6 linked regions of the Danio rerio genome follow. Each later gene encodes a partner of the first gene's protein in a complex. Links are inferred from orthologs where the notes say so. Each region holds a gene or a part of one and is shown in the gene's direction. Other genes may lie near its edges. The genes, in order: mybl1, tfdp1a, lin54, lin52, rbl1 and lin9.

Region 1 (3,500 bases):
TAAACAACAAAAGTCAGTCTGAGGCAGACCTTTATTCAAAAGAAACTTCAAATGCACCTGATTTCTGTAACCCTGATGAAAGCAAGTGTTTGCCGAAACGCGTTGGCGCAGTATTGAGGAATAACTATGTTAATAAAGACTTTTTCATATTTTTTCCACATTTTTCGAGTGCCTTGGACTGACTTTTGCTTTTTATTCTGCTGAATCCCTTACCCAGAGCATGACACATTATTTAAGCTACCCCTGAGCACTTTTTGCTTAATTTTGGATATATATTTTTATGTTTTAGTGTCACTTATGATCAGTTTAAACCATCCCAAATTTATTTAAATAAGGTAAAAATGCTTTTTCAAAATAGTTATGATTTAAAATAATTGATATATTCATTCATTAATTTTCCTTCAGCTTAGTCTCTATTACAGAAGTCGCTACAGCGGAATAAACTGCCAACTATTGCGGCATATGTTTTACACAGCAGATGCCCTTCCAGCTGCAACCCATTACTGGGAAAATAGTTCATATATAGATAGATAAATAGATTCAAAACTGACTTTAGCTCACTTTAAAATAATAGTTTGTGCAATATTATGTTAGCTCAAAGACTAGCCATAACTGTTTTTATTTGGTAAAGACTAAATGATCCTGACATATTTTGGAAAATGGTTGAAAGGGTCATTTATATGGTAGTTTTCAGCAAAGACAATATTTTATAAAATCTATAAATTTAACAACTACATTTTATAATCTATAAACATAATGTCAAACTTTGCTAGTTTGATTCATTCATTTTCTTTTCGTCTTAGTCCCTTTATTAATCTGGGGTCGCCACAGCGGAATGAACCGCCAACTTATCCAGCTTATGTTTTACGCAGCGGATGCCCTTTTAGCTGCAACCCATAACTGGGAAACATCATACACAAACACTACACAACACTACACACAATTTAGCCTTCCCAATTCACCTATACCACATTTTTGTACTTGTCGGGGAGCACCCGGAGGAAACCCACACGAACAAGGGGAGAACAGGCTAACTCCAGTTCACACAGAAACTCCAACTGACCCAGCCAAGGCTCGAACTAGCGACCTTCTTGCTGTGAGGCGAACATGCTACCCATTGCGTCACCGTGCCGCTCCAGTTTTATTCAGTTTAATGTTTTATATCAGCATCAAACATTGTTAGATGACAAAGTGTTTATTCTGAACATCTCTACAGGTGATTGAGCTTGTTCATAAATATGGACCCAAACGGTGGTCAGTGATTGCTAAGCACTTACAAGGGCGCATAGGCAAACAATGCAGAGAGCGCTGGCACAATCACCTCAACCCAGAAGTGAAAAAATCCTCCTGGACCCAGGAAGAGGATCGCATTATCTATGAAGCACACAAACGTCTGGGTAACCGCTGGGCTGAGATCTCAAAGCTCTTGCCTGGAAGGTAAAAATCAGTCTAAATCTGTGCTGAATATAGAAGGATGCCTGTGTGCTTATATAGGCTGGAGATTGACGTTACTTCACTCTTATAGAACGGACAACTCCATTAAGAACCATTGGAACTCCACCATGCGCAGGAAGGTGGAGCATGAGGGTTACTTACAAGAGGGCAACAAGAGCTACAACAGTGATCCAGGCCAGAAGAAACGTCCCAAATCCAGCCCGACTGTGGAATATCCACATGACCAGAATCAGCCAATATTGAGCGGCCAATCACAGGTGATAACACATTTGAATCTGTCGCTAAAGCAACTTTAATTAGTTTAGGGATTCATTCTCACTATTAACTAGTGACTATTAAGATATTTGTTGTTTGTTAGGACTTATAAATTACGTATTCTGCATTATTACACGGCTGTCTGGAATACTCCATTCTGATTGGTCACCCTAGTAGCAAAGAATTCTGGCCCAGATTTGGCATAAAGCTGGCATAGCAGGCATTCATCCGGCACTGGCATACAGCATGTGGGCCAAACATGTACCGGGTTTGGCAGAGGTGGCACCGTCTTTAAGGCGGCACACAAGATTTGGGCCAGATAAAAAACGTAGTATTTGGCCCAGATTAAAAATGTGATAAGTGGGCCATTTGAGTTTGGCCAGTCTTGACCCACATTTAAAATACACTAAAATCATTTTTGAGTAAAGAAAAAAAATTCTACCAATCAGGTCACTTTGAGAAAAAGCATGCCCATAGTGTGCCTAAAGCGCATCACTCCATGGGTTTATCAATTTCATTGCAATCGTGACACACCAACCTATCTGGCCCAGTTCAGGCCCAGTTATGAGTTATTAACTTGGCTGAGACTTGGACCAGATATGGTCCGTGTTTGGCCCTTGTCTGGAAGCCAGATTTGGTCCAGTCATGTACCGTAATTCACTGCGGCATGTGGGCCAAGCAAAACCTGATTGTGTGGGCCAGAGCTGGGCCAGAGAAATTTTGCTATGTGGGCAGTCACAACATTTCAAGGTATGTTATCTCGAGATAACCACTAAATAATGCAGGCTCATCCAGCAATTGTGAATCACATTGACTGTCAGTAAATAAGTTCAAATCCATATACATATCTTCATTTATTTGTATCTGCTTGTCTGTCACATTGCGGTTTTTGACTGTTTGGCACCATCTTGTTTATGAATAATACGGTTAGTATTATTCAACGGGTTTAATTTCTGTCAGCTTTGCGTTTTGACTGTTTGTTGCCATCTTGTGGTTGAATAGTGTGCTGGTTAGTGTATACTCTATCAGCTGTTTTAGTTTCTGTCAGATTTGCACTTAAACAAAGAATTACTAAACTATTACACCTCAGAACAAGGTTTTGTGTGTGATTTTTTTATTTTTTTTTGTTTGTGGCAGGTAGCTATGTGATGAGCAAGAAAAAGTACATCCAGGTTGGTTGTTTTAGCAGAATAAAGCCCTTCAGTCCTATACAACACTAGTAGTGATGGGTTGTTCTTGAATGATTCGAGAACGTTGAGTCCTCTCAGAGATTTGTTCATTCGCATATGCTCAGATTTATGCAGGTATAGCAGAAGATTAGTTCCTTTTTCAAGCCTTCTATCGGGTTTGAGTTGTTCATTCGTCACATGAAAGACAGAAGCCAATCATTTGCAGTCAGAGCGAGAAAAATATTTAATCAGTTCAACTCTCGAGTCCTCAGTTTGAGTAATTCGTTCATCACATGAAAGACAGGAGCCAATCATATGTAGTCAGACCCGGAAAAAGATTTGATCTGTTCATTTCTGGAGTCCTCGGTTTGAGTCGGTCTTTTATTATGTGATAGACTCCTTTCGTCAAGACTGTGTGCGTTGGTTAAGCATATATGGGACTGTCTGTGTAACAAGAACAAACCACTCAAATTTAAAGACCTGTCAGATGAGATGAGCTAATCATTGACAAAAGACCAGGTAAACAATAAATGATTATCTTCTCTTTCTTACAGCTTTCTAGTTATGACTTGTTTGTAGTGTGATCAACGTTTTGGTGTAGTTGTAGATGAGTTTGGAAGC
Region 2 (4,206 bases), on another chromosome or scaffold:
GTTGAAGCAAAGAAGTAAAAGTACCGATACTGCACTAAAAATGTACTCAAGGGACAGTAAAAGTACACATTTATAAAACTTCTTGGTAAATTACAATTTCTGAGAAAAATTACTCAATTTTCAGTAATTTGAGTATTTGTAATTAGTTACTTTACACCACTGCTACCTAACTGTGTTTATGTACTCTGTTTAGGTAAGAATTCGACATTTATAAATGTACAGCAGGGGTGCTCAAACTTGGTCCTGGAGGGCCGGTGTCCTGCATAGTTTAGCTCCAACTTTCCTTAACCCACCTGCCTGGAAGTTTCTAGTATACCTAGAAAGAGCTTGATTAGCTAGTTCAGGTGTGTTTAATTGGGGTTACACCTAAAAAATGGAGGAAACCGTCCCTCAAGGACCGGGTTTGGGCACCCTTGATGTACAGTATTTAATTCAAATAACTTCTTCAAATATACCCACCCAGAGACCTGAAAATGATAGTGACACTAAATGGTGACACCCTTTTTGAACACTTCTCCATTAGTTATCTGTATAAAACATACTGTATACAGTCCTGTCTGTGGGGGCAGCATGAATACTGATAAACATGTTACAGTCCTAAAACCAAAATGTGACCTAATGACTTAAAGTTTCAATTTTATATTTTATATAATGAGCAAATAAAATAGTCTAATTTATTATTTTGCTGATTTGTACATTATGATTTGTACTTCATAAATATTGACTTGTGCATAATACTAAACGCCTCTAAACGTATTTTATGTTGTTTTTTATACATCTTTTCTCAATTATTTAAAATGAAAACACAATTTATTAATCGTAACTTGGCTAACAAGCCAACAAATACACTTAAAGAGCTAAGAAAGAGTTTACCTTTTCCTTTTCATTTCCTAAATACAGTTAAATGGATACCAGTGCACTATTTTGCACCACAAACCTGTAATAAATTGATATGGTGTCTGTATCTAAGCTTAGGTTCAAATGTTTAGTACTTTTACAGTACTGAGATCTAAATAAATAAACAGGATGACTACCGTGCAAAGGGGAAGCGGTCTAATTGAAAATATAACCCGAGAAAGTGATATGAAAGCGGTAATTAGACATTTATACACTGGTAACAGATGTTCTTATTGTATTGGGTGGTATTAATAAACATATATTAGACATTTAATACACATGAACCATTTTTTATTCTCTTTATTTACATATATACCTACGCACGCTCCACCCTCAGACGCAGTGGGTGGAATCCAGTATAATCAACCAATGAGAACATGTCAACACAGCTTTTGTAGCGCTCCGTCTAATCAGAATTTAGCGCGGGCGTGTCTTTTGTAATACGTTTTTTCGACGTCACGAGCATCATCGTCCAATCGGGTTTCCCGTGGCGTCGACACCGCCAAGCTCAGTTTTACAGACCTAGAGAGGGAGCAGGTTCTACTGTGCGCTCCTATTCATTCTACGCTAGACAGTTGAAGGCGGATGCAACCGACCGTAAGTGAGACCAGGGGGGGCTCCGAGTCCACACAGACAGCTTTGAGCGATGTTTTCCGTTTTTATATATCACCAGTGCATAAAGAAGCTGTCTTTTATCTGCGCTTGTAATAATTTAACACAAAATAAGTGCGTTTGACAGCAAACTCGTTCTAAAACAACAGCGTGCGACTGTATGCAGTTGTACATCTGCTATCTGAGGCCGTTAGTCTGTTAACCATCAGTCCTGATTCATTATCATATAGGTGAAATATTAAAACTGTCTGTCTCAGATGGCTTGTGTTAGCCAACATGCTAAGCCATGTCAAGTGTTTCTGTCAGTGTAGTGCAATAGAAAATCGTCCCTGATCTTTACCGATCGTACAAAAAAGCATTGGCAGGCAAAACTGGACGTGTAATAAACAATAGTAAGGGGATCGTAGATTGATTATGATAAAGCTGTCGAGATGACCTCGATTTGAGTGGAAGTTAGCTTGACGTTACTAGCTCGCCTGGTCGCTAGCTTAACAGTTTTATTTTAATTCGCTTTAAAGCGTGTTTTAAAGACTTTTGAAACTAAAGAAACAGTTGTTATTGTTACTATCGCATAAGCACGAGGATTTTGTTCAATTAATAAGTAGTTTTTGACGACAGAAGGACCTGTCACCTCAGCTAGCATCACTGCATGTTGGCTTTGCTTTAGCAACCATGTAAAATGGCTGCCAGGCATTAAACCAAAACCATCCTGTTTGTTCAATTAGTTCATGAATGTTTGCAAATAATTATGTCCCATTATGAACGGCTATTTTCCGTTTTTAGAGTATAATCGGTTGTTTAACTTGTGTTGCTGTTGAAGCCAACGAATTCTGTGACCCTCCAGCTGAATAGGTGTTGTGACTGTCAACTGTGTTGCTTAATAATGTGGCCGTTTATATACATATATTTGCTTAAGATTATTCTTTATTAAACTCTATATAATATATATTGATAATTTTAGTTCTTTTATTTGGAATTATTTATAGGGATTTACAGTTTGCATGCGTCTTGTATGTGCATGCTTAAAACATCCGCATCCATTTTGAGGTTTATGAATGTGCCATGATCTAACAATCAAACATCTCCCAAGTGCAAGCTCGTTTCAAAAGCACGCTCATTCACCGCACATGGGTTTTTATTTTTCATATTATTTGATTTATTTTTGTTTCCTGTTTGAGAGATGGGCTTCAGACCTCCTCTTCCTCTGTCCTCTTGCTAACTGGCTATGCCAACAAAAACAGCACCTAAGAAGGCAAAGGGCTTCAGGACTGTAAGTTCAGAGGAAAGTTTACAGACTTCATTTCCAGATGGCCATTTAAGTCCGATTCGTTTGCAAAACGGTACGAGCACATGCACAATACCCGATCTGCTCGCATTTAAACACGAGAAGCACGTTTTGATCACAATTAGGACCAGGGTTCGTTGCAAAACGTGTTTGAAAGGCTGCTAGCTAACTGGGCTAACACGCTTTATAATAGTGCACACTGCTTCGATTGTGCATTATGTTTGGAGCGGAAAAAGTAAACGAATGAAGCAGATTATCGTTCTGCTTGATGCGTTTACACGCTTTTTTATTACTTGAGACACTTGATATTTTTGTATTTAAGGGCCCTTTCCTTTTGCAAGAAAAGTTACTCAAAACGACAGGAACTGTTGCATATGGATGTTTTTCAGGATATTGCACGAGGGGTTTGGGTGTAGGAGTTCGAGATTTGATGTTAAAGAGATGATACGATTCGTCGAGGTCTTTGTCTGGTAATAAAAGCTGCATGAGAGCTGGCGGGCCTCGTTTTCATCAACCATGACAGTGTTTCCAAACCTTGTGAGCGTCCTACCTAGACAGCATTTTAAAAATTGCGACTTCTTTAGCAAACACCGAATCGAACTAACTTTGAATTCACACAGTGCTTGAAAGTGTTTGGGTCTCATCTCAATACACTTGTGATGTTTTAATCCACATGTAAATAATATCATCAAGTAAAACATCTTGGCTAAACACTGCATTGAGATGTTAATATATAAACATTCGTGTAAACTTGTATTGTTTAGGCTTGTGCTAAAGATGTAAGGGTGTGTTCATTGACACTTGGTGGGTTTGGTTTGATTAGAATTATCTCTGGTGCAGTTGCTCTGTTGGATCATTTGAATAAGTGTGAACGCTGCCATGGTTGTGGACCAAACAAGCAGACCATCACTGCTGGAAAAATAGGTTTTGGCATGATTGCGATGCAACACAATATACTTCCTTGCAAACTAAAACATGTCACAATATGTGACCACAAAAAAGACAGTGCACTATCATACATATATTTTTAGAAGAAATACTGCTTCTTATGGTTGAGTACAGGTTTTGAAAAGGAGTCTTCTTGCAATCAAAGTTCTTAATGTCACAGTTTTGACTCCTTTAGCCTTCATGTTTTATAGGCTTTCCACTATAAGTGTGTTTAGCCCAGCACACAGCAATGTTTTGGATGTTCTCTTACAAAATATGTAATTTTTGTATTAAATGTTTATTTCTCTAACACTTTTACATTGTAGATTGTGTCAAAGCAGCTTAACATAGAAATTCTAGTAAATTGAAACCGTGTTAGTCTGGATTTCACATTTGAAGTTCAGTTCAGGGTGGTTTAAATTTTACTACTGAAAGTCCAAACACTGAAGAGCAAATCCATCAATGCACAGCTCCACAAGTCCCAA
Region 3 (3,500 bases), on another chromosome or scaffold:
GCATGAAACAATAACTCAAATATACGGCTGCATGCATGTATTTAATATACACAGCGCACACTAAAGTAAAAATAGAATTATTTTAATAATGTTTTTAATCATGTGAATCATGTAATATTTCTGTATTTAGTTAAAACGTTTAAAAATTAGGCTTTTTAGTGATATACAATTTTTTAGTTTAACTCCTTTTTTATTGATGCATAATAGTCAGTTACAGTTTCAAAAATAATGAATCAGTCGCACCTCAGTTGTTCCAGTCTATCAACAGATAACAAAATTAGTTCACATTTTCTTCCTCTGAATCAAAAATATTATTATAAATTTTTGCATTAAAAACAATATTTAGGGCAAAATACAAATAAAAAATGTAAAATAATAATTATAATGAGATATATAGAATAATATTTTAAATAAAACTAACAGATATTGGGTTAGATTTTCTGTATTGGGCCATACAGAAAACATATAAATACAAATATATAAAATAGCCATATTTTCTTATAGGGTATGACAAACTGTTTGCATTAAACAAAAGTATGCATCACAAGTTTTCATCTTTGGAAAAAAAAACTTTGTCTTCAGAGAATGACTCTAGAGTAAAAAATAAATTACTTTTCAAAAGCCCAATAAATCTCATAAATTATTTTTTAGCATTTTAAAACAAAAAACTAGGAATATATATTTAAAAACTACATTTAATATTACTGTATTTGTAATCAAATATTAGTACTGCTCTAAAATAACTTCTTTAAAAAATGTCTTAGTGAAAAACAACATCTATTTTTCCCCCATTGAACACAATACATTTCATTTTAGGAAACCTTTATAATATTTTGGAACAGTAAACATGTCAGACTATTATTCAAATAAATCATTTACTTCAGCTTTATTAGTTTCAAAACACTGATTTCCTTAAAAAGATAAATAGACAAAACTTAACATACAGTAGCTTAGGAATAGGAATGCAACTATTATAGATTTTAATAGCACAATTATAGTCTAAGGAATAATCACGGTTTCAAGGTTATCACGATTATTATGCAATTTTAAAATACTACTTGTAAATTACATGAAAACTCCTTATATTTTAAAGTGCTGTTTATTGCTGTTTAGTAACCAATTAATACAGCATAAAAATAAAAAACAAACAATAGTCCATTTTTCTTTTCACTTAAACATAAGTGAAAAAAAGTTTTTGGCATTTGAACATAAATAATAATTTTACACTGAAAATAAATGACAGAACAATGCATAAATAAATCTGAATAATTAAAATGTATTTGTCTAATGTAAATCATATTAGCTAGGTATTTCTCTTTTAGAGAGAACAAATGTAGTCAATGGCTGCTGAACCGATGTCTGAAAGGCACTTTTAATCTGTTGCAAAATTGTTCTGTATTTTTCATTATTATTTTTTTCTCTTTGGAATAGAAATGTGCATATTCTATACGAAGTATGAAGCTGATTGTTCCAGTTGTCACAGTGCGTTCATGTCATTCTTTCAACAAGGTTTGCCTGGAAAGTGTGCGTGAGCGTGTTGCGTCCCGCCAATTTTCGCACAAAAGACGCGCACCTCCACTGAAAATAACAAACTTGCGTGCACATAAGATGCGATATCTGAATGGCCCTTAATTAAGAGCCTCAGCCATAGTTAATCCTGTGTGCGTGGGTTTTAGCCTCAGTTTACAATTTTGGAACTTTAAACTAGCGCACAGTTGGCATAACTCTGTTTACGGTGTTGAGAGGCCTTTACAAATAATTAACCATGACGAATTCAATCGCGGTTAATAGGGAAATCGCTTAATTGTTGAATCCTTACTTGGAAACAATATAACAGAAACATTCTGCGTTTTTAAAACCTTGACCTTTTCAAACAGACCTCTCAGCAAACCTTGAGACCGGTTATCTGTCTGTCTAGTGCACATGATACTTTTTCATACTTGATCACTGATATATTCTAACTTTGTTTCATATGTATCTATATTTTTCTCCAGTGTGTTTTCGGTAACTCTGCAGAATGGATGTGGTGTCTCCTGAGCTCAACAGCCTCCTCCCTGATGAGATCATGGATACAGAGGCAATGGATGAAGATCCGCCTGCTTCACATCTTACCCCTCCGCCCCAATCTGCCCCAGAGTCGGCGCAGGTACCAATGGAAACAGAGGTGCCTGAAATCATTAGCATTTGTCCAACCACCGCGTCTATGCAGGCCATCTCCACCAATGCTAAAAGTACCACCAGTTCCACAACTCAACTCCTACTCACCCCATCATCATCCTCCTCCACCACTACAAAAAACGCCACTCCGACCCTCCCCAAAATTCCCAGCCTTTCCGTCCCGCCAAACCACCAGCTCATCATCAATAAAGTGGCGGCAGATGGAAAGTCTCCGGGCGGCGCAGTGATAAAGCAGGAGGGCCAGAAACTGCTGGTTGCCGGGCTCAGTAAAACAGGGCAGCCCATTATGCTGGCTCTGCCCCACGCTTGGAACAAGCCGGCCACCAGCCAGGGCTCAGGTGATGCCAAGAGCCAGCCCACGCAGATCAAGATGGTGACGGCGATGGGTAAGCCTGTGATCGCAGTGAGCTCAGCCAGTCAGCTGGTGGCTTCATCCACACCACTGCAGGCACAGCACCTCAAGACACTGCAGGTGGGTAATCTCCGCCCAGACTTACACTGTAATATTGCTAATTAGAGCTACACAATATAGCCACAGAGTTTATGATTTTTTAATATTTTTAATATATTAGAGAATTTAAAGTATTCAGGCACAAGTGATTGTACCATTTGTAACATTAAAATGGATTGTATTGGATATTTATCCAATGGAGTCTGTAGACAATTTTGAGGGACGTAAATAATAAAATGGTCTTGAAAGGGGTGCATTCCCAAACAATCACGTAATTTGCGGCTGAGCTCTTATAGTACGATGCATCGTTTGGGAAAAGGACGATACAGTGTCGAGTGCTTCCCAAAACACGCAGTTGCTCTGTCGCAGAGCCATTGTTAGAACCACGTTAGCTATAATGTAAATCGTCCATAATGATGCTCTAAACGGGGTGGTAACAACTTCTCTAGAGAAAAACTCCATAATTTCTTTGTGCAAATTATATTATTTTACACGTACAAGCATTTAAAATAAGTGCAATATTAGTTTTGGTAAAAACATGCACTCGTTTTCCATATTAATTGAAATATATGCAAATGGAACATATAGGACCAATGTTTCCTTCACAAATATTATTGAGAACATTACATATTCTATTCTAAAACATAAAATCACTTACAAAACCTAATGCGTATTCTGATACCTGATACGCATCTCATTTAAAAATCATATAAATTCATAATGAGGCCATTAAGAAATGAAATTTAATATTTAATATTATGAAATGAGAAAAAATCCTACTTTAAAAAATAATATTAATAATAATGATGTTGTTGTTGATGATAATGATGATGATTATTATTGTAATTATTATTATTATTAATAATACTAA
Region 4 (4,252 bases), on another chromosome or scaffold:
TTTATTTGGATTTAGGTTGTGTTGCATTTGATACCAACACATTTTCTGGCTCAATTGACTGAAAATATATATGTTTTTCATTAATCACCAACATTGTAAGAGCTCTGTATTTATACTTGAATTTTACTTATTTAATTTTACTAATTATTTTATTTTTCCAAGTATAATAAAGTGACCTTCTGTCTTTTAGAGACATGATCTGTACAGAGGTGTTGATAGTTATTTCTTCAACCAGTTTTACAATACCATCCCTTTTTTAATGTCTTTTAAATGGGCCTTTTCGTATAATGCTATGTACAAAGCATTTGAAAATGGGTTGATCAAAGTAATAATGCTACAGTGAATGAATGATGTTTCTTTAGTGTTTTAAAATAAATAAAATGAACACTCTGTTAAAAATATTGATATGATACGTTAAAATGTGCTGAAACTAGACTTGTTTATGTTTACCAATAATTTTTATTTTTGGTCTATTTATAATTACTGCCTTTTTTGTAGCTGTACAGAAGTTTGTTCTGCTGTGTTTTTTGGCCTGACTGAGTCTTGAGTCTTATATTATATTAACACTATCATAATACTACTCAAGTACTCTGTATGAAAGCTAAACATATTAATGTTCGCATATTATTCATATATATTTTTACTTATTTTGCAAGAAAGAACGTTATCAAAGACACAGTTTAAACAAATAGACAGAAATGAATTCATAATTAAAATTCCAGCAAATTAAACAAGTTTAAATGATTTACACCAAGAAAGTGTTTTACATGCAATATAACTGTTAGGGTCTTTTAAAGAGTTCACATATAAAGTAATTTCTTAAAATAAAAAAGTAGGGTGTTTCTTTGAAAATTTACATTTATCGATGTAAATTTTAGGGGGGGGGAAACAATTAATTACAAATTTACAAGAATTCAGAAAGTATCTAAAGAATATAATTTTTTGTGGGAAATACAAAAGTTTGGAAATAATACAATTTTTGTGAAATTGGAAAAGTCAACCCAAATGACTTTACAATAAGTGCACTCCCAAAATAGGCCAAAAAGATTTAGTGTTTCACCATATTGAGTACAAAATGAGCATTTGAAGGAAATATTGTTATTAAATTTACCTAGTTTGTTGTTTATTGGGTAGCAATTATGAATGATTCTGATTGAGACTTCAACAGCTTTATTAGATAAAAATATGTATTTTTTCCGAATACCATCCAAGATCAATATCAAGAAAAGGCCATTAAAGACCATTAAAGAGATCAGAGAACTGTTAACAATAAAGAGAATCACTTTGTTTGACATAGAACTGAGAAGAGTTTGGTCAACAAAAAGGTTTGTGCTGTCAATAATATTTATATTCATATTTTTCAGTCAATTATTGCGACATCATTTTACAACATAAGAGGGTGTGGCTATTTTATCCAAGACCTCCAGTGATTGGCTGCTTAGAATCACGTGTGTTGTTGTCAAGATGGCGTCTCCGAATGGAGGTAAATTTTAATTCCTCTTTTCCCTGGCAGCGTTAGTTGTTAACGCAATAGTGCAACGGACTAATTAAGTCATATAAATCATTATGCGGTTTAGCATATTTTTTATAAAGAACTGATGGATTCTGAATCAAAATAAGCTTTTCAGTCGGAATAGCGTCATAAAATTGTTTGGAGCCAGTCATTAGCAAAGCTACGTGTCAGACGACATCAGTTGTGTAGTAATAATTTAATACGAATGTAATAGTGTAGTAAATACGCGAAGACATATTACTTTTGGTGTGTCGTGATTTTATCTTTAACGTTAGTTATGTAACTCATTATTTTGTGACAAGATTACTCAATGCAGCTAGCTCAGCTTTGAGTAACTTAGCAGCTGAGTAAACATAATATCTCTGTCATAACATCAGCTTAATTTTACACCTTGAATAATATGTGACAGAAGATTTTTTTTTGTAACGTCATCTAAGCTGAGTTATGTTAAAATTGAAATTGTGTATATTTAACATTTTTTATTGTACTTCAGGTTTATTGATCCTGTTGCTGATGAGTTTTCTCTGACCATAGAGCATTTATCTTTTTAATGTGTAGGTGAGGACTTTGAATCTTCTCTGATAAGTTTAGAAAATCTTGACCGGGCTTCACCTGACCTGTGGCCAGAGCAGTGTAAGTTTGACTCTCTAATCTTATTCAGTTGGACTAATATTTATGACACATTAACATATTTTTCCAAATATATGTAAAAAAAAATGCACTGATTGAAATATAGAAATTACATTTGATTATTACACATTGTCATATTTTTGAACGCTTTGTTTTTAACAGTGCCGGGTGTGTCAGAATTTGCAGCATCCTTTAAAAATGTGAGTAAATATTCAAATGATAATGAATACTTTTCAAAGTTGATGTGAAATTAAGGCTTGGTTTTTGTTATTTCAGCCTATTACAAATTCTCCACCCAAATGGATGGCTGAACTGGAGTCAGAGGATATTGAAATGTTGAAAGGTCTGCCTTTTTTAAAGTAGTATTCATATCAAGTCTTTTAATGTATCATTTAGTCTTTTATCTATGCTTTCTATATATTGCTTAGTAGAATAGGTTAATAATAGTTAGATGAGTTGCTTGGTGAATTCCAGGGTGTCCGCGCGGTCTTAAAAAGTCGTAAAATGTCTTAAACCTCAAAATTACATTTTTATGTCTTAAATTTACTGAAATATTGTGTTGTAGTTCCTAAATGTTAAATTAAATTTTTTTTAAATTAGGTCTTAATTTTCCTTTGTTTATGTATCGCTACGCAGTCTGGCCATTAGTCCTATACGATCACCAACAATTCATCTCAATAAAACCTTTTATATAAAAAGGTGATTTTTAACTCTGTTTACCATAACAGTTTTATTATTTTCCTCAAAATACATAATATTTGTTAAAAAGTGTTCCATGTATTTGCTGCTGAGGACACCGACCTGGACAGATTGTTTTGCATAGATTTAGTTATATTAAAACTTTAAAAACATTAATTCATTTTTTATTGTAAAGAAAGTTTATGTTGGAAAAATAAAGTGTATGTATACAAGTAGAGCTTGTTTGTTTTTAAACAATATTTGAATATTTTTATAAAAAATATCTAAAATATTTATTTTTTTATTATTAAATTATAATTGTATTATTAATATATAATCGTTTTTTGATGGGGCAAATGAAAAATCTTTTCCATCTGGGCCATATGAAAAATTCCTTAGCGATTAGTCCTTTATGAGTCTAAAATTTCATTCATAAGGGTCTTGAAAATGTCTTGAAGTCTTAAATTTAACTTTGTGAAACCTGCAGAAACCCTGGAATTTATAAAAGCTACAGTATAATATTTTGTTTCGGTTCTGGTCCATTTTTATTTTATTTTTTGTAACTTGTTTGTTGTGGCTTTTTTTTTTTTAGAATTAGGAAGTTTGACCACAGCAAATTTGATGGAAAAGGTGAAGGGTCTGCAGAATCTGGCTTACCAGTTGGGCTTGGAGGAGTGTAAGTAATGTCTTACTCAACTCAGAAATAGTGCATTAGTTCACACTGTTTATCTAGTTACGGTATATTGTAAGTCATCCACTAGATGGCGATATTAGAAAAAGAATAAAACTTACTGACAAACACAAACCCAGCTTTTAATACATAAAGACATTTTTCATGTTTTTTGCCGCTGTGATATTTAGGATAGAGTTAAAAAGACAATACAACAAATAATTCATTATATGTAGTCTGGAGCCTAAATCCATCTGAATCCTTGTGTGGAAAAAACACTTATTTGTTATGTTCTATTCGTTTATTTCAGTCTGTAAGTCTCAAATGAATTCCCACTCTATATTTAAACAGAACTGGCTTGTTGCCCAGTGTCTCTGTAATATTATATCACAGAATTGCTAGATGTAGCATTAATCCACGCAGGCAGGATTACAGGAAAGATAAGTGTTTCAGTTATTTTCTAGATGAAAATGGGCATCGAAACATCGCACAATTTGAAAGCGAGTACTGCAGACCATTGGTGAACACTCGTTTCAGATGTATTACATTCCTTCTGCTGATTTGACCTTTGTGTGGCATGTCCCTCAGAAAGCCCTCAACAAACTATGCTTCAATGAGAAAAATCAGTCAAATGCTTTTCTGTCTACTTGATTTTTACTCTACTATTTTGAATAATTTCCATAATGTTACAGAGAGAGGATAAAAAAAGCATCAGTTAATTTAAATAATTCAAAGATATGCATTTATATTGATTTAAAATT
Region 5 (4,297 bases), on another chromosome or scaffold:
TTACATTACAAACCACAGAAGAGGGCAAACTCTTCAGCAGAATAGCACTCCTCCTTATACTTCAGCCTCCACATCAAAGTTCCTGAAAGCAAAGAAGGTCAAGGTGCTCAAGGATTGGCCAGCCCAGTCACCAGATATTAACATTATTGATCATGTCTGGGGTAAGATGGAGGAGGCATTGAAGATTAATCCAAAGAATCTTGATGAACTCTGGGAGTCCTGCAAGAACGCTTTCTTTGCCACTCCAGATGACTTTATTAATGCGGTATTTGAATCATTGCAGAGATGTATGGATGCAGTCCTCCAAGCTCATGGGAGTCATACACAATATTCATTCTGTTTCCACTGCAGCATGTTTTATATTCTATACTGTACATTATTTTATGTTAAGTCACAAGACTTTTGTCTGAGCAAAGTCAGACCTTACTGTCCTAATGAAAAATCAAGGCATGATTATATTTTATATTGGTGAAATAAGTGTAATCTAGAGGCCTTTGCCTTTCATTCAAGCCACTTCTGATACCAAATGATCAACTAGAAGTCAAATTATTATTTGTTGTTCCTAAAACTTGGATATGCAACGACTTTTGTCAGTGTATCAGACACAATAAGTGGAAAAGCTAGAAACTCTGGTCAAATCTGTTAAATTTAATTATGTTTTAAGCTCGGTACAGTTCATTTAAAATGTGTTTTATGAGATGAATCAGGCTGTAATGAGATTTACTGGCTCTCTATGTAAAACAATATTCTAATGTACAGTATTAATAAATGTAATTCATGGTTAGATTAATTATGTGGTACAAATAGAGCCTTTCACACGCATAACGAAGTCAGTAGAGTAGAAATTATAAGAATGTTGCTTTATATTTACTCTAAATTACATTTATATTGACAAATATATCAAATAGGCCTACCATATCATACGTTTAGTGTGGTTCAAAGAATAGAATAGAAATTATGTTTTACACATTAATATATTGTCATTTTACGTTTATGTTAGAATAAAATAACAAATGGTGCCATACTTTATGTAATTTCTATATGACACAATATGGGGGACCCAAAGCAGAAATATTCTATCTATGGAATAATAACTGCACTTAAAACATACTATTATATAATTAAAAATGTGTATATGTTAACTAATCAAAAATGTACTAAATAGAACATTAGCACATATTCGGGGATAAATAATGCATGACGCGTAATAATATAAGACCAAACAAGTGAACAAACGATAAAATAATCTTGCAAAGACATTCCTAATTATCTTTGCTCTCGGTGTTTCATAATATTACACGCATACCTGCCTAAATGAACGCAAAACGGATCATGTTGGTCAGACGAACCATATGTAACGCGTTTGGTAAACTCTTGTATGGAAGTTTAAATCCTCCATGCTGCCTCTGTCGTCTTTGTTGTTGTAATGACGCCATCTCACCCTATTCTCCCATTGGCCGAGAGGGGCCAGTTTTCGCGCCATTCGAGTATCTCGGCATTGTGGGATAGCATCAGGAGGTCAGCGGCGCCCCGGGTAAACTCCGTGTTTAACCCGAACACATTTTTTTGGGACATTTAACGGATTTTAACAGATTCCAGCTATGCGTGGGGATGAAACGGATACAGAGTCCGTCAGATCAGCCGATGGCTCGATCCGGAGTAATTTCGAGGCGCTTTGTCAGGAGCTCAATATGGACGAAGAGACGGCAGCTGAAGCGCTTCAGAACTTCAGATCCATCTGGAACACTTACACGCTGGAGGTTTGACTTTAGATCACATTTACACGACAAACTAATGACAGGAGCAGATTATCTTTTTTGTTGTAATTCTGAAATGATCAAAATAATCAGTAATGTTGTCTAAATAAGAGGTTCCATTTAATGTTATTGCGAAATTTTCTGAAGTAACTGCTAACGTTATATGAATGTTCAGTGTCGGTATACAGTTATAACATTTATATAATGTTTGTAAACTGTGTATTCAAGAATGCAATGGTGTACTTACCACAATAAGTTACATATTTTAAAAAATCCGACTTAGTTGGTGTGCCAACTTATAAACCCAAATACAGTGTAAAAATGCTGGGTTCAACACAAATCCGTCATGTTGTCCCAACTCAAATCGATTTAGAGCGTGATTGTTTTTACAAATATAAGTGGATTCTACGTAAAACACTTATGTTGTCTCAAAACATCTTAAGAATTGTGTTGTTTGGGCTGATTTTAAGTAAGTAGTTTGAACAAGCTGCAAAAGTAAGTTTTTGAGTGTATTCATTATAATAATAGCCGGGTCATATGTTACATTAGGAAACAATACATATGTTGTTGCGCTTCTAATATGATTGAGACTTCCCCTTGTGTTTGTGTCATGTGACATAGTTGGGAACTCTACTTTAAAGGGAAAGAATGCAGTTGTTCTGTCAATTTCGTATCGAGGTCAGAGAGACCTGGATAAATTCAGAGAGAAGGTATATGTTAACATTATATTGAAACATCTGTTTATATTTTCCAAAACAGCTAACCACAGAGTTATGGGATCAAAAAATATCAATCTGTCAACATTTTTTCTATTTGAAATGAGGAAAATAAACATGCGTGATGGATATGACAAAAAAAGTCTTCGAGTTTACAGTATACAACATACTTTGTAGAAATTCTGTGAATTAAACAGAATGATTTAAATATATGATAAGGAAAAAGCTTTGTTATTGATGTGATGTCTCTTTGTTATGGATGTGACGGATGTAAAAATTGCAACTTGTGTGACTTTGGTAAATCAAATATAATTGAGACATTTTTGAGTATTTTTAAGCACCGTAAAATAGAAACCTATACAAAAAAACGAAGAAATGATTTTGCTATTATGGCGAACACACATTTTTTTTCATGTTAAGGTTGACATTTGCATGTAATTGCTCATATAAATAACTATGATAACGTTATATGAATGTCACAGTAATAACTATATAATATAACGTTACCATATTAACTAAACATTTTTTTAAATGATGTTTTCAAGAATACAATGGTAAACCTACCAAGGTACTTATTTTAAAATATCTGATTCTATTGGTGTGCCTTTTTACAAGCACAGAACAGTGCAAAAATGTTGAGTTTAACACAATCTGAACAATCTCGAACACATTCCTTCATGTTGTCCCAACTCAAATCGATTAAGTTAACTTAATTCTTTTTACAAATTTAGATGGGTTCAATGTAACACGTTTAGGTTGCCCCAAAACACACACACACACACACACACACACACACACACACACACACACACACACACATATATATATATATATATATATATATATATATATATATATATATATATATATATATGAGCAATTCCATGAAAATAACCTTGCCATGAAAAGAGTTATGTATTCGCTCAAACAGCAAAACCGTTTCTGCATTTATTGTGTAGGCTTGTATTTTACATTGCTTTAAAATTCTCAAATGCCTCTGTCAATGTTTTCAAAAAGTTATATTGGATTTACAAAAGACACACAAGTGGCAATTTCACATCTGTCACATCCATAACAGAGAGGTGTCACATCCAATCAAGTCAATTCTTTTTGTTCTACAGACAGCCGACTCTTATCTTTTTGATTTGGATTGGTTTTTTTTGGGTTGTGTAGTTTAATCCACAGAATTTCTACAAAGCATGATGTTTACTGTAAACTCACAGACTTTTTTCATCACATCCATAACGCATATTTATTTCCCTAATTCAAAATAGAAAAAAATGTTTACATATTGATCTTTTTCTGATCCCATAACTCTGTGGTCAGTTGTTCTGATAAGTATTACCAGATGATTCAATATAATGTTAACATATACTTCCTCTCTGAATTTATGTTTTAAGATTTTACTACAAATGTCACATCCATAATGCTGGAATTGCTACTATTGCTACTCCGTTATATGTATTAAAGTAATAAAGTAAATAATGCATTCTTTTTGTTGCAAATATTGTTTGATATAGTGAGGCAAAGAAGTTCAAAACTTGAATACATTCATTTTATTCATAGGTGTAATTTGTTTAAAATCAGCTGCTATATGGACTTGTTTATTGATACTGTGCACTTAGTGTTATTGATATAGTTACATTTACATTGTTTTTAATAACAGCATACTTGCATAAAATACATATAAATATCAGTAAATATAAATATCATTTTCCGAAAAAATAAATCACGTTAAAGTAATTTAATTACTAACGCAACTTTATTCCAGTAAATGTTCATCTTGAAATATTAATAATAACAGTATAATGTTTGTTTTCATTT
Region 6 (3,500 bases), on another chromosome or scaffold:
GTATGTATATGTAAATCCAAAGTGCTAGAGCATTTACTTTGTCATAGAACACAGATCTTATCATTCAACATTACAAAAATACAGATTTTCCCTCTGAATTTTTTATCCCATGAATGCAGGCAGAAGTATATTGAATTCAGTCCATTTACATAAAGTTTTGATGTTTAAGGTAATAAACTGCAAATAATTAACAAATGTCTTGCTGCTATTATTTTTTAATTTCTAGCAAGTTAACGTTTAAAATACAAATAATCACCAAAACTTTAGCTACAATAAAAAACTGGCAAATAAGGATTTTTATTCAATATTGAAAACAATGCGATTATTTTAACATCACTTTTTCACTACTCATTTTTTTAAACCTACTTACAATCTCCTTTCTTGTCCAGCAAATAAAAATAGTCAGTTGGACAGTTTCGTTTTCAGAGCTGCTGCCTCAATTCGAGCAATAAAGAAGAAAAAAGAAGAAAAAAGCACTCGTATGAGCAAAGTGCGGAGTTGTCCAAATAGTTGGACATTTCTATTTTTGTACAGTGGAGGGGGAATTTAAATTTGACTGACAAACAATGACCGAAGGACGCTGTTAATTGTCAATATTAAATTTCATTCATAATTCTCCCTACATTATTTACATGCTTTATATTTAGGATTTTCCATAAGAACGTTTTTGTCTGGTTGGCCCAGCTTTCAGTATTGCAGGATACATATCAATACTTGTGTGCTTTTAACTTCTATGCTATTACATTTAAGTAGTTCTATTAAAGTGTTAATTCTTGAAGGAACACAATCTTACTAGACTTTTTTTTTTATTTACAGTACAAAATTTTTCTTTGTGTGAGGATACTTGAGATCTAAGTGTCATTTACACTCTGTCATGTCACTAACAAATTACGGTTAACAATTTTAGTTAATCTACACATGGCGGTTGAATGACATGACATCCCCAGCCCAAACCATAAGGACCAGATTACAAGTGTGAACAGTGTTAATGTTTACTGTTTCTAAATAAGTCCCGTTTGCTGTTTACTTCAGCCAACACGGAGCTCTAAGAGGAGTCGACTGTCATGTGAGGATGAGGAGCGGCCGATTGCCTCCAGATCTCCCAGGAGGAGCCAGAGGGTTACCACTATGCCTCAGGTCAGAGAGAGATCCAGGATCTTTTTTTTTTCAATATAATTATGTTTTTATTTTCTTAAATAGTAGTACATTTACATCAGATACATGTTAGAGATCATACATCTGAATATACTCTCAAATATAAGCGCACTTACTGCACATCCGCTTTCTCTTTTAGCAATATATGCTTTTTTCTCTGTGCACATGTAAACATATGTTATACATAGAAATAAAAGGAAATAAGAAAGAAAAAATAAGCTAATGTCCGCTACAAAAACAATCAACTCCAGAGAAAATAGTCATGTACATGTAGGCAGTCATCCATTGTATCAGATTTTTAATAACAAAAGAGTTCAGGTCTACAATTTCATGCATAATTGCTCAATTTTTTCCAGGATTAAATAAGTTGTTTCCTTTCCTGATTTACAAATCTGGTAATTTGTCCCATTTTATACATTTAATTGTAATTTCCATCCATCAATTTAGGGATGGACAGCCATTTTTGTTGGTAATACTCTTTTTGACAGCCACCAGCATAATATTCATTAAATATTTTTCTCTTTTGAACCATTTCTCATATATACATCCAAAAAATAAATCAAATCAAAGGCCTGGTCACAGATGTAAATATATTTTATAAGGCTCTTTGTATTTCTTTCCTGTAGTTTTGAATAACAGAGCAGTCCCAGACACTGTGATAGTGATTCACATCTTGATTTGCACATTTCCTCCAGCATATAGACACATTTTCAGCATAATGTGATTTCTGGGAGGGTGTAATATAATAGGTTGTTTGCAATCACTTGGTTCTGCAAAATTCAGATGGAGGGCATGAAGGAAGTAAAATAACTGAATGGGAGAAAGAGGAAAGTCTGTATTTTTCTGATTTATACCATATTTCAAAGGAGATATAAATACACCACCACATATGTTGGGCAGGATCCTTATATCATGAAGAGGGCAGAGTTTTCTACTGAACTCAAATATATTTGCCTGTCATCAATGCAGTATATACTGTATAAGCTATTACGTTACATGAAAAAAATACTATAGTAAATTTGGAAGTGTTTGGAAGCATGCTATATTAACTTGAATTAAACGGTCGTAGTAATTATGTTGTTGCTGTGGTACAACACAACAGTAGTAATAATCAAATTTTTTCAATAGGCTTTCGTTTTTTTACCCTATAATTTCACACCATCACAGTACACCACAATTTACATGAACATTATGGTGTTTATTACAGTTTATCAGTTTAATATGCTACAGTATTCTGTATTTTCCCTATGCGGATATCCTCCAGAGATCACAAAATAACAGATGAAAGCATACAAAAGCATAATATCTACATTATTATTTATGTCGTTTATATTTGTAAGGGGGAAAAGTGCTCCACAATAATAACCGTCTAGTTTTGTCTCAAAGGTTGCATTTCTTTTTTGTTCTGTTGATGAACATACCATCAACAAACATTTACCGCTGCTCCGCATCTCGATGTTAACGTTACTGTTGTTTATTCCACCAAAACGCCAGTAAAGACTAGTATTATTTATTACAAGATGGAGATTTCATTGCAGCGATTACATGGCAGGGTACGTTATTTATATTCTCCTGAATGTTGTATAAGTGTGGTGGTGTTTTTATATGATTTTCATATAACACTTTAACATATTTACATATAGCTAGGCCTGTATATAATCTTTATTAGAACTTTCAAGTGAATTATCATGTCCAAAAAAGTTTGTACGGATAGATTTATTGAAAAAATGTTTACTTCATGCCGCCTTTTTCTGTTTTTTCAGCCACTTTCTGTAACTTTCTCCCATTTATAAGCAAAAACTCTTATTAGTCTATGAAAACTGTTCTGCATTTCTTATATTAGCCGATTTAAACAATTATAAACAACATAAAACATAAACATTTTAATGTCTTGATAGTGATTCTTATAAAGAAGAATCACTTTCTGCCCTCCATCTGAATTTTGCACATCTTCAATGACATCATGTGAAAACAACCCATACCTTATTAAACTCTTCCAATTAAACTCTCTCCATTTCTGTCGTTTAAAACATTTCCATTGATTCCTCCATATTTTTGTCTATTTCTCATCGATTATAACAATTCCATCTCCTTTACAGGATCGTTTTTTTAATCTGAAACCGGCTGTCATGAAGATCAGTCTATTTGCATTTTCTGATTCTGAATGTTTGCCTCTGTAGAAACTTACAAACGTCGCAACCCCAGATAAAAGAGTTTCTCAGAAAATTGGGCTGAGACTAAGAAACCTGCTCAAACTACCCAAAGCACACAAATGGTGCATCTATGAGTGGTTCTATTCAAATATCGACAGGTATGTTTTGCAGATCACTATGTTTGCTTTGTAT

What was found.
Region 2: mybl1 (region 1) and tfdp1a share a complex: the UniProt entries of both Homo sapiens proteins name them as parts of the DREAM complex. The link is inferred for Danio rerio from reciprocal best matches to the Homo sapiens genes MYBL1 and TFDP1.
Region 3: mybl1 (region 1) and lin54 share a complex: the UniProt entries of both Homo sapiens proteins name them as parts of the DREAM complex. The link is inferred for Danio rerio from reciprocal best matches to the Homo sapiens genes MYBL1 and LIN54.
Region 4: mybl1 (region 1) and lin52 share a complex: the UniProt entries of both Homo sapiens proteins name them as parts of the DREAM complex. The link is inferred for Danio rerio from reciprocal best matches to the Homo sapiens genes MYBL1 and LIN52.
Region 5: mybl1 (region 1) and rbl1 share a complex: the UniProt entries of both Homo sapiens proteins name them as parts of the DREAM complex. The link is inferred for Danio rerio from reciprocal best matches to the Homo sapiens genes MYBL1 and RBL1.
Region 6: mybl1 (region 1) and lin9 share a complex: the UniProt entries of both Homo sapiens proteins name them as parts of the DREAM complex. The link is inferred for Danio rerio from reciprocal best matches to the Homo sapiens genes MYBL1 and LIN9.

Annotation. Positions count from the first base shown.
Region 1 is NC_133199.1:27,718,927-27,722,426, forward strand, and holds part of mybl1 (myb-related protein A), read left to right. Parts: intron 1-1,216; coding exon 1,217-1,437; intron 1,438-1,525; coding exon 1,526-1,712; intron 1,713-3,500. UniProt on the Homo sapiens protein: Transcription factor that specifically recognizes the sequence 5'-YAAC[GT]G-3'.
Region 2 is NC_133184.1:36,641,782-36,645,987, forward strand, and holds the start of tfdp1a (transcription factor Dp-1a), read left to right. Parts: upstream 1-1,406; 5' UTR 1,407-1,494; exon of another isoform or gene 1,495-2,849; intron 2,850-4,206. UniProt on the Homo sapiens protein: Can stimulate E2F-dependent transcription.
Region 3 is NC_133185.1:12,005,142-12,008,641, reverse strand, and holds part of lin54 (protein lin-54 homolog), read left to right. Parts: intron 1-1,994; 5' UTR 1,995-2,017; coding exon 2,018-2,650; intron 2,651-3,500. UniProt on the Homo sapiens protein: Component of the DREAM complex, a multiprotein complex that can both act as a transcription activator or repressor depending on the context. In G0 phase, the complex binds to more than 800 promoters and is required for repression of E2F target genes.
Region 4 is NC_133192.1:33,276,441-33,280,692, reverse strand, and holds the start of lin52 (protein lin-52 homolog), read left to right. Parts: upstream 1-1,452; 5' UTR 1,453-1,464; coding exon 1,465-1,483; intron 1,484-2,071; coding exon 2,072-2,146; intron 2,147-2,305; coding exon 2,306-2,343; intron 2,344-2,419; coding exon 2,420-2,486; intron 2,487-3,413; coding exon 3,414-3,497; intron 3,498-4,252.
Region 5 is NC_133181.1:54,220,306-54,224,602, reverse strand, and holds the start of rbl1 (retinoblastoma-like protein 1), read left to right. Parts: upstream 1-1,497; 5' UTR 1,498-1,601; coding exon 1,602-1,760; intron 1,761-4,297. UniProt on the Homo sapiens protein: Key regulator of entry into cell division. Directly involved in heterochromatin formation by maintaining overall chromatin structure and, in particular, that of constitutive heterochromatin by stabilizing histone methylation.
Region 6 is NC_133195.1:47,003,051-47,006,550, forward strand, and holds part of lin9 (protein lin-9 homolog), read left to right. Parts: intron 1-1,032; coding exon 1,033-1,137; intron 1,138-3,335; coding exon 3,336-3,466; intron 3,467-3,500. UniProt on the Homo sapiens protein: Acts as a tumor suppressor. Inhibits DNA synthesis. Its ability to inhibit oncogenic transformation is mediated through its association with RB1. Plays a role in the expression of genes required for the G1/S transition.